2 linked regions of the Oreochromis niloticus genome follow. The protein of the gene in region 2 binds, or shares a complex with, the protein of the main gene of each other region. Links are inferred from orthologs where the notes say so. Each region holds a gene or a part of one and is shown on either strand. Other genes may lie near its edges.

Region 1 (7,782 bases), on a different chromosome or scaffold from region 2:
AAAACATGTTTACAATGAAAAGTGTAAGGAAGGTCAACGTTTAAGGTTAGAGAGGCAAAGCTGAGATAGTTTGTACATGTGCAGAGGAAGGCTGGTGTGATGGAGGCAGATGATGGCTTGATGCTGAGCGAACCCCTAAAGGCAGCAGCCCGAAAGAATAACAAGTGAGAAAACACATCAAGTTAAGTTAAGAACTTGTAGAATATGTGATTGCACATTTAGTCAAAATCCAACTGCATGCATGTTTCTAAGGGTTGACATGTTCTAATGCTCTGTATTTATTTAACTCATTTAATTCAAATTTGTGTCTTGCGTCTCCGACTGCAGTCCTACCTCTTCCACTGTTGCATCCCAAGCCACTGGCATTTCCTATTCGATCCATCCTGGCTCCAAAACAGCCAGAGGTGCGTTTCCTGGTGGCCATCAGCAGGTCCTGGAGGCGGCTCCTCTGATTCACAGTCTTGCCCTCAGTTAGTGGTTGGGCTTTTTCAGATATCAGAGGTTCTTGGTTCCCCTCTTGGTCCCATCCTTGGCTGGTCTGGCTGCTTTTGGGATCTTGGTTCATGTCTTCATAATAAGCTTCCAAGTCTTCTTTCTGGACCACTTCATCCAATGTCTCCTCAAAGCGTTCCAGCAAAGACTGTTGTAGAAATCATAAAGCATCTAATAAATCAGGATGTAGAGGCAGCCTGGACACTGGTGATGTTCCAGAAATATTCCTGTTTACACACAGCCATGCATGATCTGAAAACATGATGTTATCATGTAAAAATATAAAATACAGACCTGTTTATGCTGCATATTTATTTCTACACTTTTGAGAACAGCCTCCCTCTTTTGTCTGTTCAAATACCTTATTGGAAAGTTTGCATCACAATAGCTGTAACAACTCAAATTCACCTATTACTAAATCCTAACGCTTATACAAGTGTAACCATAAGTATTCAAAATTATACCAATATCATATCAGTATCACATGAGCAATTTTGACATGATTATTGCCTAATAAACCCGTCCTGTCCAGCAGATTTATGGAGCACAATCACAATCACAGGTGGGACGTGCAAGTGCGTGTGTGTGTTTATCATAAAATACACTTGATAATGAGGGTGACAAGCTGCAACAACGCCCCCCTGGGAGCCAGAGTCAGGGGAGCCAGAGTCAGGTCCATTAGACCATGAGACCCGGGCTGTCCACGGACGCCCAAGAATAGTGATGACCTGAGGCCACACATCTCGATGACAACCGCGTGAAGGAAGAGGGAGGCCCCACATGGAGCCCCCAAAGCCAAAGGACAAGGGCCCCAGAGAACCAAAGACAATGGGTAACCAACCCCATAAGAGGTTGGCTGTCCCAGCATGAGCCAAAAGAAAGGTCCCAGGTGATGAGAACTGCCTGGCACCTGACAGGGCAGGGCAACCTCACACCCTCCACCACTATGTCCCACAGTGGCCAAGACTCAGAAAGACTCAGACCCAGCCATAATATACACACACACAAATAGGGGGTGGCTGAAGAGCAGAAGGGGGCGGCTGGAGATCAGAAGAACAGGAAATGAATCTCAGTTCTCATGTTTTGTTTCTTCTGCTAATACTGATACTATAGTGTGCACTGCAAGACCCTATGCATGTGTTGGTGCAAGTGAGAGTTTGAGGTGTAAAGGATGAGTATGACTGTATGAACACTAGAGTGCTTTTAAAATTTACAGTTGTGGCATGAACACCTGACAGCTGGTCAACAATGCTCACACTCAATGCCTCAGGTGCCAATCAAATTGAAAAACACACAGCAGTGACGAGTTGTGTGGGGCCACCAAGGTAGCCAGAGTCAGCAGATGGGTCCCAAGTCTGAGAGTCCATCTGGATACAGAGTCATAACACTCAGCCAACAACAAACAAGAGGGACCCATCATTCACGATGTTTAATTTTTAAATACCACAGTTATCATCAGTGCACAGATATTGTGACGTTCACACAATGAACCAAAGGCTGCATACTTTCAAAACCATGGTGGGTGTTTTTATTGCCTAATTTAATAGGTATGCAAATATTAACAGCATATCAGGAATAAAGGTGAATGTTTTGTTCATGTCATGTCAGTGTTGTGTCAGAGTCACAGCAATCTCCTTAATAACTGTCTACTTCAGCCACAGCTGAACCACAGCTTGTAATTCTGGAAGCAGAGCGCTCTAATTTCTAGTTCACCTTGGCTAATTATAAGATGAAGGAAGAATGACGATGAAGGTTGTGATGAAGTTAAAATTACAAGTGAAAATAAGGAGAACAAAGTAAAGCAGGTATATCTTTGAGATCAGATCAATGTGAGGTCACACTCTAATGATAATTACTTTTCCACATTGTGTTGCTTTGTTTGTAATCGCCTGATCTGTTGTTGTGTCCTCTTGTTGTCATCACAACAGTCAACATTTCATCCTGTTATTCCCTCTCAATATTCACAAATCCATAGAAAAGCATGTCAACATGTGCTCTGATTTAAACTATATTTGAAAAAACTCTTCACTTTGTCAAGTAGAACATAAATCAGTTATACTGGGGTGGATGCATTAGTGCAATTATGAAATGCTTGTAGTATTCGTACACTAACTGCATTTGAGAAGACACTGATACCAGTGTAACTGCCTTTGAATGATTTTTAATAACAGGAAATATGTTATTCATGCAGCTACTTTCTTGTCTTTGATCCTCTCTCTGTTTGAATGTCAAAGTATCTGGTCCTTCACAGTGTAATGTTTCCACAAATGGTGTGTTGATTACAGGTATGACATGGTTTCTTACCTTGAGCTGAGCCAGGTCATTAGCAGATGAGGGCCTCCCCAGTATGTGGCCGCTAACCAGTGTTTGCTGACACAGCAGGGCCAATACGCCCCACAGAACCTCAGTTCTCATGTTATGTTTCTTCTGCTAATACTGATACTATAGCGTGCACTGCAAGCTTTTATATACAGACAGCCTCACATACACAACCATCTACATACACTTACCATGCACCAGACAGGCAGTGCCATCATTTTGTAGACGGCCTCAAGTGCATTCTGACACCTCTAAATGATAAGGCCACTGGTCAGATGTCTCTTTAAGTGGCGCTTGGTGGTAAGTGACGTGTGTGTGCGTGTGTGTGTGTGTTTGTGCATGTGTCTATGTATACAGTATATGTGTCTGTGTATCATCATGCTTACCAGCCAGCAGTGGCATGACCTAAGGAGCCATCCTGGATCTCCGAGCTGTGTATTGGGAAGAATGTCGTTTCACTATGCATATACTTAACACTGTCTACACTCCCAAGAATGAAACGTACCATAGTAGGTTAAAACTGCTGCTTGTGGTTGCATGGTTTAGATTAGGACAGGAAGGAAACAATGTTATAGTCAAAGGAATATAAACAGGATTGTGAATATGATTTATTACCATAACTGAAGGCATTTTCTTCCTGTCATGAGTTTGTAAGGCAGGAATAATACAGCCTATAATCTAAACTTGTAGGTGCAGTAGATAAAGACATGAACTGGGAGTATTATAGAAAAGAAGAAGCGTATACTGTAAATATGTTTCAATAATGGGTGACCTTTAATAGAAAGTAGACAAGAATTACATAGACTCAAATTTCAAGAATCAATTATAATACATACGTATTTTATAAATAACAATTTTCACATATTTAAAGAAATATTAACAAAGTAAATATTTGGGTTTTAATGTTTATTCAATGTGTTTCACAGTTAAGAGTTACACAAACACCATGTTCTCATTTTATACTGTAACTCCACAGTATTATTCAGACAAACCAGAGCCTGAGGTCTTTATTAGTTTGTAGGGTCTCCTCGTCTTTGCAATCGCACATTTTGGAAGTGCAGACTTTAATGCACTATGATAAGAGATTGCATGTCATGGGTGGAGCTTTGTCTTGTTCCCTCATTCATAAGGCACATGAATGGCACATGTAATAAGGGATGTGCTTCACACAGACTCCTAATAATCCTGCACATTTGAATTCTAAGGAGTCATTTTAATTTCCCTTTTGGAGACAATTAAAAAACAATTTTAAAAAATCACAAAGCTACTCAAAACTAAACACAACTGAAATAAATAAATAATACTTAGAGAATCATTCATTTCATTTTGCTGAGAAGACTAATACCATTGTCACACACAGACCTCATGTTTAAAACATACAAAAACTTTTTTTTATCTGCTTGTGCTTTTTCTTTACACTCTTGGCATGGGACAATCCTCCATAGCTGATCAAGCTCCCAGAGGACCTTGTAGTACCTATGATGGCTTTCAGAGCTAGAGCTGGGTGATCATGGGGAATGTGACATATTTGGGCAATAAAAGATGAGATTTATGCGGCTTTGCAGCATTACAAATGTGCCACATACACTTGCACAGTGTGCCTTTACCTGCCTTCAGGCTTTGGGCAGACCAGGACATTAATCTGAGTGGTAAGGAAGGAATATAAAGGGACTGCACTGGGTGAGATTGAAAAGTAATGTGAACCTGGACATGCTGCTGCAGGTGTATCTGTGGCCTGATGATTGAACTGCTACCTGTTGGAATGCATTTATATTACCCAGAATTCATCATTGTTGTTGCTGTTTGAATCCACTTCAGATCAACACAGTTTGGACTCCTTTCCATCATTTGAGGAAGATGCTAACCAAGTGACTGTGGCTGTGGTGAATGGATGTGGATCGTGACCAACCAGCTTTGGCATGCTCTCTCATTTCAATCTCATGCCACAACACCTGCATTCATTTAAAACTCCCTGTTGTTGATTCATTTTGTTTTATTGAATCACCTTTTGCCTGTGCTTTAGCACTGTAATGTTCCAACTTTGAGAATAAAAAGTTTTTCTTCTTCTGTATGAAAACAGAGCCAGGAGAGCCTGAAACAGCGTAATGTCATGGCTTGATGCTTTGACGTTATGAGAACTCCAAACAACGAAAATTTAAAAAACAAAAAACACAGCTCACTTCCCAACATCTCTTAAGCTTACCAATTCCTCATTTGATGAAGAAAATAACAAACATATTTCCACAAGTGTTCAACTATTTGTTTTCCACCTATAACAGAATGTAAACAGAACTTGATTTAAGATGTGAGGGTAACATGTTCTAAGGGTCACTGAAAGTTTTGTATTTTATTTGTATGTAGTTGATAGTTGATAATTTATCTGAATTTTATGAGCAGACCACAACTTTTACGTTGCCCATACGAAACATCATCAGTCTGGGATCTTCCATCAGTCAGCTGGCAGTGACTACAGTCAGCAGGTCGAAGCAAGGCGGCCTTCATTTGGTTCCAGATGCAGCAGCTGTGCACTGGGACTGAGCTGAGAGCACATCCAGTTCCTCTTCATGGGATGGGAATGGGGTGGCTGATAACCGGTTGAAACTTTAAACAGTGATTGATTTAGCACCGAGTGAGTTATGTGCATATTCGCAAGACAACTATGAACATGAAAGTTATGGATTGTTATGGATAATTCAACCACGGGCTGCTGCTACTTCCTGCTTTCATCTTTCTATCTGTCCATTTGTCTGACGGTAGAATCCAAAGCACTTGCTGTTTGTATTATTATACAGTTTTTATGTTACAATTTCAAGTGCCCTGAGACAACTCTTGTTATGATTTGGTACTATATAAAATTTAATTAAATTTCGTTGAAATTAGAGGCTGAGGGAGCTTCTTCACACAGTGAGCTGCCTCAGAGAACCAGTACACAGTGGTTAAGATAACTGTCTTTCCATCTGAGAGGAGCAAATCAGTGATAAAATCCAAAAAGATGTATGACAAGGATCTATTTGGAATTGTTAGTGGGTGAAGGAGACCTGAAAGCGGTTTTGAAGGACTCTTGTTCCCGACATGTGGGGGAGGCAGAAAGATATCCTTTAACATGATGAAGGACAAAAAATTGTTGTTTAAAGAAAGAAGTAGTTCTACTTACCCCAAGGTAGCAGGCGAACCTAGTGGTGTGGTCCCAGTGGAAGCTGGGGAGGAAAGCCATGGTGGTAATTTCAGTTCATTTAAAAAAAAAAAAAGAAGTTCTAAATACAATAAAAGTTGCCTTAAGATGCTGTAAGGGGAAAGTCTTGCATCACCGCTAAAAGCGGTTCGTGGTGGACAAATTGAATCTTCTAAAAAACAAGAACCATTATGCAAGATTGGAGTTCAAACTTATAGCACTCTGCAGGTAGGAGAGAAATTGTAGTCTGGGATCCAGCTGGATCTGAACTGGGGTCAGTCTTCACCTGTCACCCTCGAACAAAAAACCCAGAGAGGTCACAGAAGCAATCCCCTGCTTTGACATAAAGTCCGTTTTCTACAAGGCACTGTAAAGCTCAGCTGACTTCTAAGGATTTAGAAAAAAGTAGAGGAAAATCCCAATCTAAACACAAAGATGAAGATGCTAAAGAAGTCTCTCAGGAGATCATTTATGAGGGTCCGGGGCACTGCAGGGGGATTGGTTAAAATCCCTCTGCAGTGGCATTTCCATTCATCTCAGTTTTGGATTTTAACCAAATAATTCATTTTTTAAAATCCAGTTTAGTAAATACTGTTGCAAAGATCAGAAGACAGAGCTGATTAAAGGCTGTGGATACTTACTCTTGACGACGGTTTGGTTAAGGTCTATAGATTTATAGACGGTATGAGTGTTTCATAATTTTTGTTGCCCCCAAAAAAAAGGCTCTGCCTGCTGGAGAGGATGATCGATTTGTCCATGGACCGTCTGTCTGGCCAAACAAGATCGTGCAGATTAACTACAGAGTAACTCCTTATAACAGTCAGAGGGACAGTGTGGTCAGTGAACCTGGGGAGTCAGTAACTCTAAGAGAGATGAGAGATTGATTAGTTCAGGTCGGGGGTGAGGTGAGTGATTTAAAGAAGGATTGTGAACCATGCTTCTTGATTATGAGCCTTTCAGACTGTTAAATAGTCAAAAACTGTCTAAACAAAGGCGTTAAAACCAATAATCATGTTCTTCAATAATCAATCATGCTCCTTATTTGTGTGGGACCTCACATTGTTGCATTATGATCATTGCACATTATTCTTCAAACAGACAATAAAGAACAGCACTTAAAATAAAATAATGCTGAATATGACATGAAAACTATTACATATTCTTACTATAACCAAAAAACACAACTTTTCCTCAGAGCCCCAGACTCTTGAATGATGCACATGGTTCATGGTTCATGACAACCACTTAAATAAAACCGTAAATCTAAAATAAGAAGTCGATAAACCATCCCGCCATTTTCTTCTGCTTCTTTGAAGTTGGGCCGTAGGGGCAGCAGCCTAAGCAGGGAAGCCAAGACCTCCCTGTCACCAAAAAGCTCCTCCAGCTTATCCAGAGAAACACCAAGGCATTCCCAGGCCAGCCGACAGATTTCTCCAGCATGTCTTGGGTCTAATCCAGACCTGTCACAGTTCTGGGTCAGTTTTGACCCAGCATTTTTGAGTTCCTTATGTTTTGGTTTATTTTGCATTTTGGAGTGTTTTGGGGTTCTCTGGTGTTTTGATTATTTGTGATAAATTATATTACTGTGGTTCTGGTTTGGGGTTTTGTTCGCAGGTTTTGTGTTCTCATGTTTTGTGTGGGTTTAGTTCTGTGTCCTGTCTGCGTCCTTGTGAAGTGATCTCTTGTTTCCTGTTTTATTGTGAAGATCTGCGTCTCATGTGAGTGTGTTCAGTTTTACCTCTCTTGTCTTGTCTCGTTAATTACTCCCAGCTGTGTCCCCCACCTGTGTGTAATCTCCC
Region 2 (7,403 bases):
AACCGTTGCCGAGGTTGTTGCATCTGAGTGGGTGTGCCGCTACGGGATACCTCAAGCACTCCACAGTGACCAGGGACGCAATTTTGAATCTGATGTGTTCTAGGGGGTGTGCAGTTTGTTTGGCATAGACAAGACTCATACAACGCCATTCCGACCCCAGTCAGATGGCCAGGTTGAACGTTTTAATGCCACTCTCCAAAAGATCCTGGCCTCCACAGCAGAGCGTTGCCATTGGGACTGGGACCTGATGATCCCGTACGCTGTTATGGCCTACAGGGCGACCAAACACAGTGCTACAGGTTTCACCCCAAACTTCATGATGTTTGGCCGAGAACTGAGTGAGCCAGTGGACCTTGTCGCAGGTCTACCTCCTGATCCAGACAACCAACCCTCAGCTCCAGAGTATGTGCACCAAATGCGTGAGCGGCTGGAGCTGGCCCACCTCATCGCCAGGGAAGCCCTGCGTGAGTCAGTCACGCGCGCAAAAAGGCAATATGACAAGAACTGTTGCCACACACAGTACAAGACTGGAGATCCTGTATGGTATCTCATCAAAGGAACACGTCACATCAAGAATAAGGTCAAAAAGTTCCTCCCATCGTATGAAGGACCATTCTTTGTCCTGGGGCAATTGGATGACCTGGTTTATCGGATCCAGAAGAACCCAAGGTCTAGAGTGAAAGTTGTCCACCATGACCAGCTAAAGCATTATCGCTGCTGCGAGCCCCTGGACAATACCTGGGTCCTTGATCAAGCTCATCAGTGGCCACCTACGGAGGTCCCACCACCAGCTTTAGAGGATGACCCAGCAGACCGTGATCTGGGTCTGCACAGTCTGTTCTCTACTGCAACTGGCAATGGCCCCAGCTCCTCTCAGCCATCTGTCTCTGTTGCAGCTGATCCCGCTCCAGTTGTGGTGATCCCATCGGCACACAGGACACATTTCTGAATTTTTCCAGCGTTTTATTCTTCCCAAAACATTTAAACATTCAGAAATAAATAATTTGGTTTGATAAAATGTTCTCATAAGAAAATGAAAAACTACGGAAATTAAAAGGTGCACAACTTTGTTTAAATTAAAATTAAAAATTTAGTTCATAAAAGAAAATTATATTTTTTCATTTCATTTTCCAATTTTCCTCCCACACTAATGAAGCTACTGAGTACGAAGTTCTTCAGTTATTACATTAAAAGTACCCAGTGCTGTTCATTATTGTAGCAGTGGGGTGAATTTAAAACTTTTCTATCAAACTGTTGCCATGTTTTGTTGTTTTCATGGCTCAGTCTGGCTACTTTGATTGATGTAATGTAGTGACCTCAGAGAAGAGCAGCAGAATGAGTGTGTACATGACAAATGGTTTTACTGTCTGTTAAAAACTGCAAACACAAGTGTTTGCAGTTTTGCAGACATGAGAAAGTGTTACCAGAAACACTTTCTCATGTCTGTGTTTTTTTAAATTGGAAATTTGAAGACGAACAAAAGGAAGTAAAACAACATCATTAAAGCTCGTCAATCAGTGCTTTTCTGTTAATACTCACTCAGTTACTGTCACCACTGGTTTTGGTAACAAGCTCACAGCTTTGAGCCGATTATGCACTTGTTCTCAAGATATGTCCCCCTCATAAACCTTTCTGGTAGCAGCTATCACAACCACAACAGGCAGAAGAAGATTTTTTTCAGCGTTAGATTTCATGCAGTTTGCAGTAAATTGTTTACCACAGACTTTTGATCACACAATTGTGAATTACAAATATTTTCCTCCTGAAAGTAAAACTTACAAATCCATTTGACATAAGGCTGCAAAAATCCTCCTGTCCACACCTTTCAGTCACAAATTGACTCTTAGCTTCTTCAATAATTCCAGAAGCTTTGTGCCGTTATATAACTCAACTGTGTCCTGTTTCGGCTCCAAGCCATGGTCAGCATCATGTTTCAGTCTGACTTAATTTTTTCTGGGCTCCACAAACAAAAGATTCCACAAAACCTTTCAGCTGAAAAACTTTATTAACAAACAACATTGGGCTGGTAGCAGCTCTGTGTGAAAAAGATGTGGACTCCTCTGGCTGTCACAGAAGCTCTTCAGATGCCACTCATATTTTTGTTTGTAGTGTCTCACCTTTTAAAGCAGTTTTTGCTTTAGTGCCTTTTGGATTTTCTGCTATCGTTTGAGTGCTTGATGTGCTTAGGATTGGTTTTGCACAGAAGCGGTGAAAAGACTGCACACAATATGCGAACGTCCAGATGTCACACTGTTCCTGCTCTGTGGGCTTTGTTGTTGTGGAGGTTTAATCAGTTTCCTGTGACAAATGTTCCCTGTGAGATTAATTCTGTGTGATTATATCTCAGCAGACAAATAATTTCCACAATTTCTATAAATATGGCTTTTATTTCAGTCACTATTTACAGTGTTTAAAAAAACACTAATCCCTTAAAAATAAATAAATTATAAAATAATCTTCAGAGGTACAAAACCATCACCTGCTGAAAAAATCAGATAGCCCATAAGCTGGACAGGGAAATGGTGTGTCACTAATTTAGAAGATCTTCATTTAGCCTGGGAAAAGAGTTTGTTGTTCTGTTTTTAAAAAAAAAGCCGTCCATAAAGTTTGAATTCATTCATGTGTTTATGCTAAGTTTGGTTTTCAGATCTCCTCGTTCAGGAATAACACTCATCCTCACAGCAGAGTCAGACCTGAGCCTTGGCACAACTTTGTGTGCCGACTGGACACTAAGAAACCGTTAACGGTGACTGAGTGCTCCTCTCAACTTGCTGTCTGCTGTCTCCTGTTCCAGGGTTGGATGTTCATATTAAACATGTTTCTACCTCATGCTCCTCCAACCACTGCCAGCATCTTACACTCAGCGAGCGCTGTGCAGGGGCGCCTCTTGAATTTTTTCAATGGATGACCATATGGCGACCACTAAAAATATTGGGGTAGCACACCAAAACAGCGCAGGGGTGTAGCAAAGGTGAGGAGGTTATGACAGGAAATCATGAGGGACATACAAAGTGACACAATACGAATGGCAAAATTGTATATGCAGGAATAAATAACAGGTTAATGTTTCAACTCATTGTAGGCTGTCTTCCTCTCTCTTGACCTCATGTTTATTAAAATAATACCAACATACAACAGCCTTGCTAGGATGGGCCAGTGTCCCCCCTGGCCCCTCCTTGTGGTGACCCTGGCTGTATGATGTCAAACAGAGAGGATATCCTCACAGTCATCTCATCATAGTTAGTTTACCTGTATGAAGGAAGAAAAAAAATGATAAAGTTTCTATTTTCAGATCAGCATTCACTTCATATGGGAATCACAATATCCCCGTATGAAGCTGTGCCTTCAGGTGTACAGTTCAGTCCCAACCAACAACCACAAATCATGTTTTCAGTAACTTCACGTTGTATTTTTCTCCAGTAGCCACAGCACAAGATAATACTTACAAGGTTCTGTTGGCAGAGAACAACCAATCAAAAGAGAGGAACAGGGTGCACTATAACCCAGACACAGAAGGATTATTCTGAATACGGAATCATGCAGTGTCTCTAACAGAATCAAGAATAAAAGGAGGAAACTGCTCACCTTAACTGTATTTACTGACTTTCTTTGGAGTCGACTTGCTGTATTCAAGTGTGACCTTTACAGTTAAATAAGAGAAACATTAATGTGTTTTCATTAACAGGAGAGAGTGGGAGGAAGGTAGGATACATGTGAGAAAGAGAGCAAGAGAGTCCGAGTATGAGGGTGGGTGGTGATCATTTCCAGGAAGAGGTACAGAGAGGGAGAGTTTGTGTGTTTCCAAGCGACTTCCTGGTATACCGGGTGTATCCTGTTAAAACACACATACACACACACGCACACACACACACACACACACACACACACACATTCTTTGGTTCTCTATGTATGTGTTGTGCATTAACTTTATGAACAATAACACACTTGCAGTGTGACGTCATGTGTGGCTGTTAATGAACTTTAAAATCTCTCCTTGCAAAGAGGTCAAAGGTCAGCAGTGAGTTCAGAGATGCTGGAAGTTTGATGAGAAACTGATCAGTCATTTAACTTGTTAACTGATCTTAGATAATTCTATGGAAGTTGAACTTTTACTGAGCAGAAGGCAGAAACACGACCATCTGTCTATAATCCATAATCACCCTCACCCACAGTCATTTTACTCGGGGTTCAATCAGACTAATCAACTGACTAGTACCGGTATCCAATCAATAAAACCAAGTGAGTAGCTGCAGGCGGCCACCAGGGGGCTCCATATCCACATGCTCACGTCAGCAGAGCGGCTTTATCCGGATTTATATAAAGTTTTTGATTAAAAGTAATATTTCAGTCTATCAGCGTGCGCAGAGCACGGCAAGGAGGGAGCGGGGCACTGCGAGCACACATATATATAGCATGTGTCACTTTGGTAACTGAATACACGTAGGTTCAAGCACGCGCTTCAGTTCGCGTTTTCAGGACTGCCCTCTTACCCTCCACACCCCCTCAGCAAAACTTGCGTGTGCGCGCACGGCGGGAGGCTGGATTATTACCGGGATGGTTTGTGAGCGCGGAGAAGCGGAAACGCGCCGGCAGTAGCGGGGCGCGAGCCTCCGGTGAGCCTCCGGTGAGACGGAGTTCCCACCGAGTGTTCACGAGGCGTCCTCCGCCGCGCGAGCTGCAGCTGAAAACAGCTGGATGTCATTCTGCGGACACACGGAGCTGCGCTGAGCGCCGAACAGGTAAAACAACGTCAGCCGCTCCTCTATTGATGAACTTACACAGGAGAAAGGCGCCGCGCGTTTAGCGACCAAGCAGTTAATCGAGTAGAAAGTTGTTTTTAGTTCTTCTCTTAGTCTCTGTCCTGGTCACGCTTTCAAATGAACGAAGACTCTGATTTTCCTTCTTCATCTTAACCGAAGTCTATCTGCCTTCAGACACAACAGCCCACCACTAAGAATACATTCAGTTCTACTTGATTTATACATCGCCAAATCACAATAGCAGTACCCTGCAATAAAGCAGTGAAAGCCAGCAATCATTAGGCACTTGGCGACACTGGAAAGGAAAAACTCCCTTTGAACAGAAAGAAACCTTCAGTAAAACCAGGCTGAGGGAGGGGCGATCGTCTGAGAGACTGGCTGGACATGAGGGGACAAAATATTCATAATCGATCGCGAGAATGATACATTTGGCATCCACGAGATCATTGACTGTTTTACATAACAATAGTATTATTATTAATAATTAAAATCATGTGTGAAGCACACAGACACTCAATGGTCAGATGGACAGTCACCTCAGAATGAAAGTGAGAAACTGTTTTTTTTTTTTTAGTCTGAGGTTTGATGTGTGCACAGATCCTGATCCTAAAGAAGCTGAAAGTTTAGAAACAGACCTCAATGTTGACAGCTCTTTGTTCCCTGAGTGATGTGTTTGAGTCTCACTGATGTTGCAACAACACTTATATAAGACTGAAGACGGGTCGGGCAGCTGAGTGTGTTTTACCTCCATCTCTGGAAAGTAAAGTTTTCATCAGCATCAGAAATCCTGATGTATTCAAAGACACTTCAGCCTGACTGAAGCTGGCCTATACTTCTTCTTCCTGTCAGATTTCCTGCTGCCTTTTCTCACAGCAGCCTGCTTTCACAGATTTATTCATGTGCTCATGTGTATGGAGAAATGTGGTGATTAAAGTCTGATTTTGTGTTTCCACATACAGAGAAGCTATGTACACATTTCAACATCACTCATCATATTTCTTTGCGTTACCTCCCACCATTTGGACAGACCCAGAAACACACGCTGCATTTGAAAGCTGGGATATGAGGGGGTTTTAATGGATTCTTGAGTTTAAAGAGGGACCTACATTTTGGTCAACAGCTCAACAACAGGTGTGAGTCATGTAGGCTGAAAGCCGAAGAGACCAGATCATCTGTACTCTAAATGTGTGGAATCATGAACAAATTAACATGACCATAACAACCATAACCCTTTACTTAAAGAAAATGCAATAAGGGAGATTTCAAAGTTATTAGGGAGTGCCCAATTCTGTTGATCTGGACGTAGCGTTTTCAGTGGTAGAAACATTTCGTCACTCTTGATCAGCTGATCAAGAAACTGACCTCACAGCCCATTGTTCACCAGTGGGGTTAGTTTGAGTCATTATGCAAATGTATGTAAAAGATTGGGGAAATTTACAGCTGAGACTGAAGAAGTCACTTGGATGAGTGATGAAATGTTTCTCCCACTAAAAACACCAGGTCCAGATGAATGAGCATGCATCAAGACTTATTACGGAGTGGTTTTACTCATACAGCACAGCTGATGAATTTGGAAGATAAGTGGCTCAGGAATGAAGGGTTTGACATCCCTGGTGCAGATACTGGTACTGCATCTGAAGCATGACGCCAATGCAGAAGCACTCAAATGTCCAGCAGGGTGCAACTGCTTTGGTCTGATTATACAGAAGTCTAGGGGAAAATGAGCCCACTCCTCACCTGATCTCCGACCTCATTACACACTTTCCTGATGAGTTCATGATCTCAGCCCCTAGTTTCAAATCTATCAGAATCAGAATCAGAGAGACTTTATTTATCCCCAAGGGGCAATTAAGATAGATACAACAGAGCAGCATGACGTTGAAGATAAGGACAGGGCATAAACAGGCAATAAGAATGAGATAATAAATACACAGAATATACATTATATACACTTTTAAAATTTCACCGTTTTAAAATTAAAATTAAAGTGACTGAAGTGACTCTATCCATCCATCCATTTTCTTTCACCCTGGACTGGTGACCAGTCTATGGCAGACCTGGTTTCAGTTCTTACTGAATAAAACATCAGGTACATTTTGGAGCTTATTTATTCACTCTCCTTGAAATCCAGTCATCCCTGGAGTGCATTTGATGAAAGAGAGCCAATTAAGTCAAATGAAATGATCCGAGCTGTCAAGTTGCTATAATGCGAGTGGACTGATTCAAGACATGTTCGTTGTTTGGAACAGCTGACGAACTAACGCTGACGCCGCTAACATTGTGTTATCTTTGACCTCTGCTTACCTCATTCCTTGTATTTTATGGGATGAATTAGTCCTGTTTTAGTATTTTTTTTTAATTTTTTTTTTTAGTATTTTTAATTCTCTCCTACCTTGTTAAAGCGACTCAACTCAACATTTTCTGCATTTGTTTCAAATTAAAAGCCCTCTTAGCTTTGCAGTACAGAAACTGTATGTCCATATGTCAGTGAGACTCTTATTATGGAAACCCAGACTGCTTTTATTTGAAGAACTCCGGAACATAAGTGGATAAACCGTGCACATGTGCTTCCTCACACAGGTGTTACTTTGTCACAGCACTGTATAAATGAGAGACAGAGAAAGATGACAAAGGCAACACAGG

What was found. The genes of interacting proteins can lie anywhere in the genome.
Region 1: the proteins of npr1a (region 2) and nppa are in contact, whole or in part, in a crystal structure (PDB 7BRG), measured with the Rattus norvegicus proteins. The link is inferred for Oreochromis niloticus from reciprocal best matches to the Homo sapiens genes NPR1 and NPPA. Residues at the interface, in NP_036745.1 of Rattus norvegicus: Asp90, Val115, Tyr116, Ala119, Pro120, Arg123, Ala139, Leu140, Gly141, Ile142, Val144, Tyr148, Tyr182, Asp184, Leu186, Gly187, Asp188, Asp189, Arg190, Phe193, Phe194, Val196, Glu197, Tyr200, Met201, Arg204, His213, Gln214, Glu215, Phe216; in NP_036744.1 of Rattus norvegicus: Arg126, Ser127, Ser128, Cys129, Phe130, Gly131, Gly132, Arg133, Ile134, Asp135, Arg136, Ile137, Gly138, Ala139, Gln140, Ser141, Gly142, Leu143, Gly144, Cys145, Asn146, Ser147, Phe148, Arg149, Tyr150.

What each region holds. Positions count from the first base shown.
Region 1 is NC_031984.2:35,514,029-35,521,810, forward strand, and holds the start of nppa (natriuretic peptides A), read right to left. Parts: upstream 3,005-7,782; 5' UTR 2,908-3,004; coding exon 2,797-2,907; intron 641-2,796; coding exon 334-640; intron 136-333; coding exon 77-135; intron 1-76.
Region 2 is NC_031985.2:34,509,249-34,516,651, reverse strand, and holds the start of npr1a (atrial natriuretic peptide receptor 1), read left to right. Parts: upstream 1-4,392; 5' UTR 4,393-4,739; intron 4,740-7,403. UniProt on the Homo sapiens protein: Receptor for the atrial natriuretic peptide NPPA/ANP and the brain natriuretic peptide NPPB/BNP which are potent vasoactive hormones playing a key role in cardiovascular homeostasis.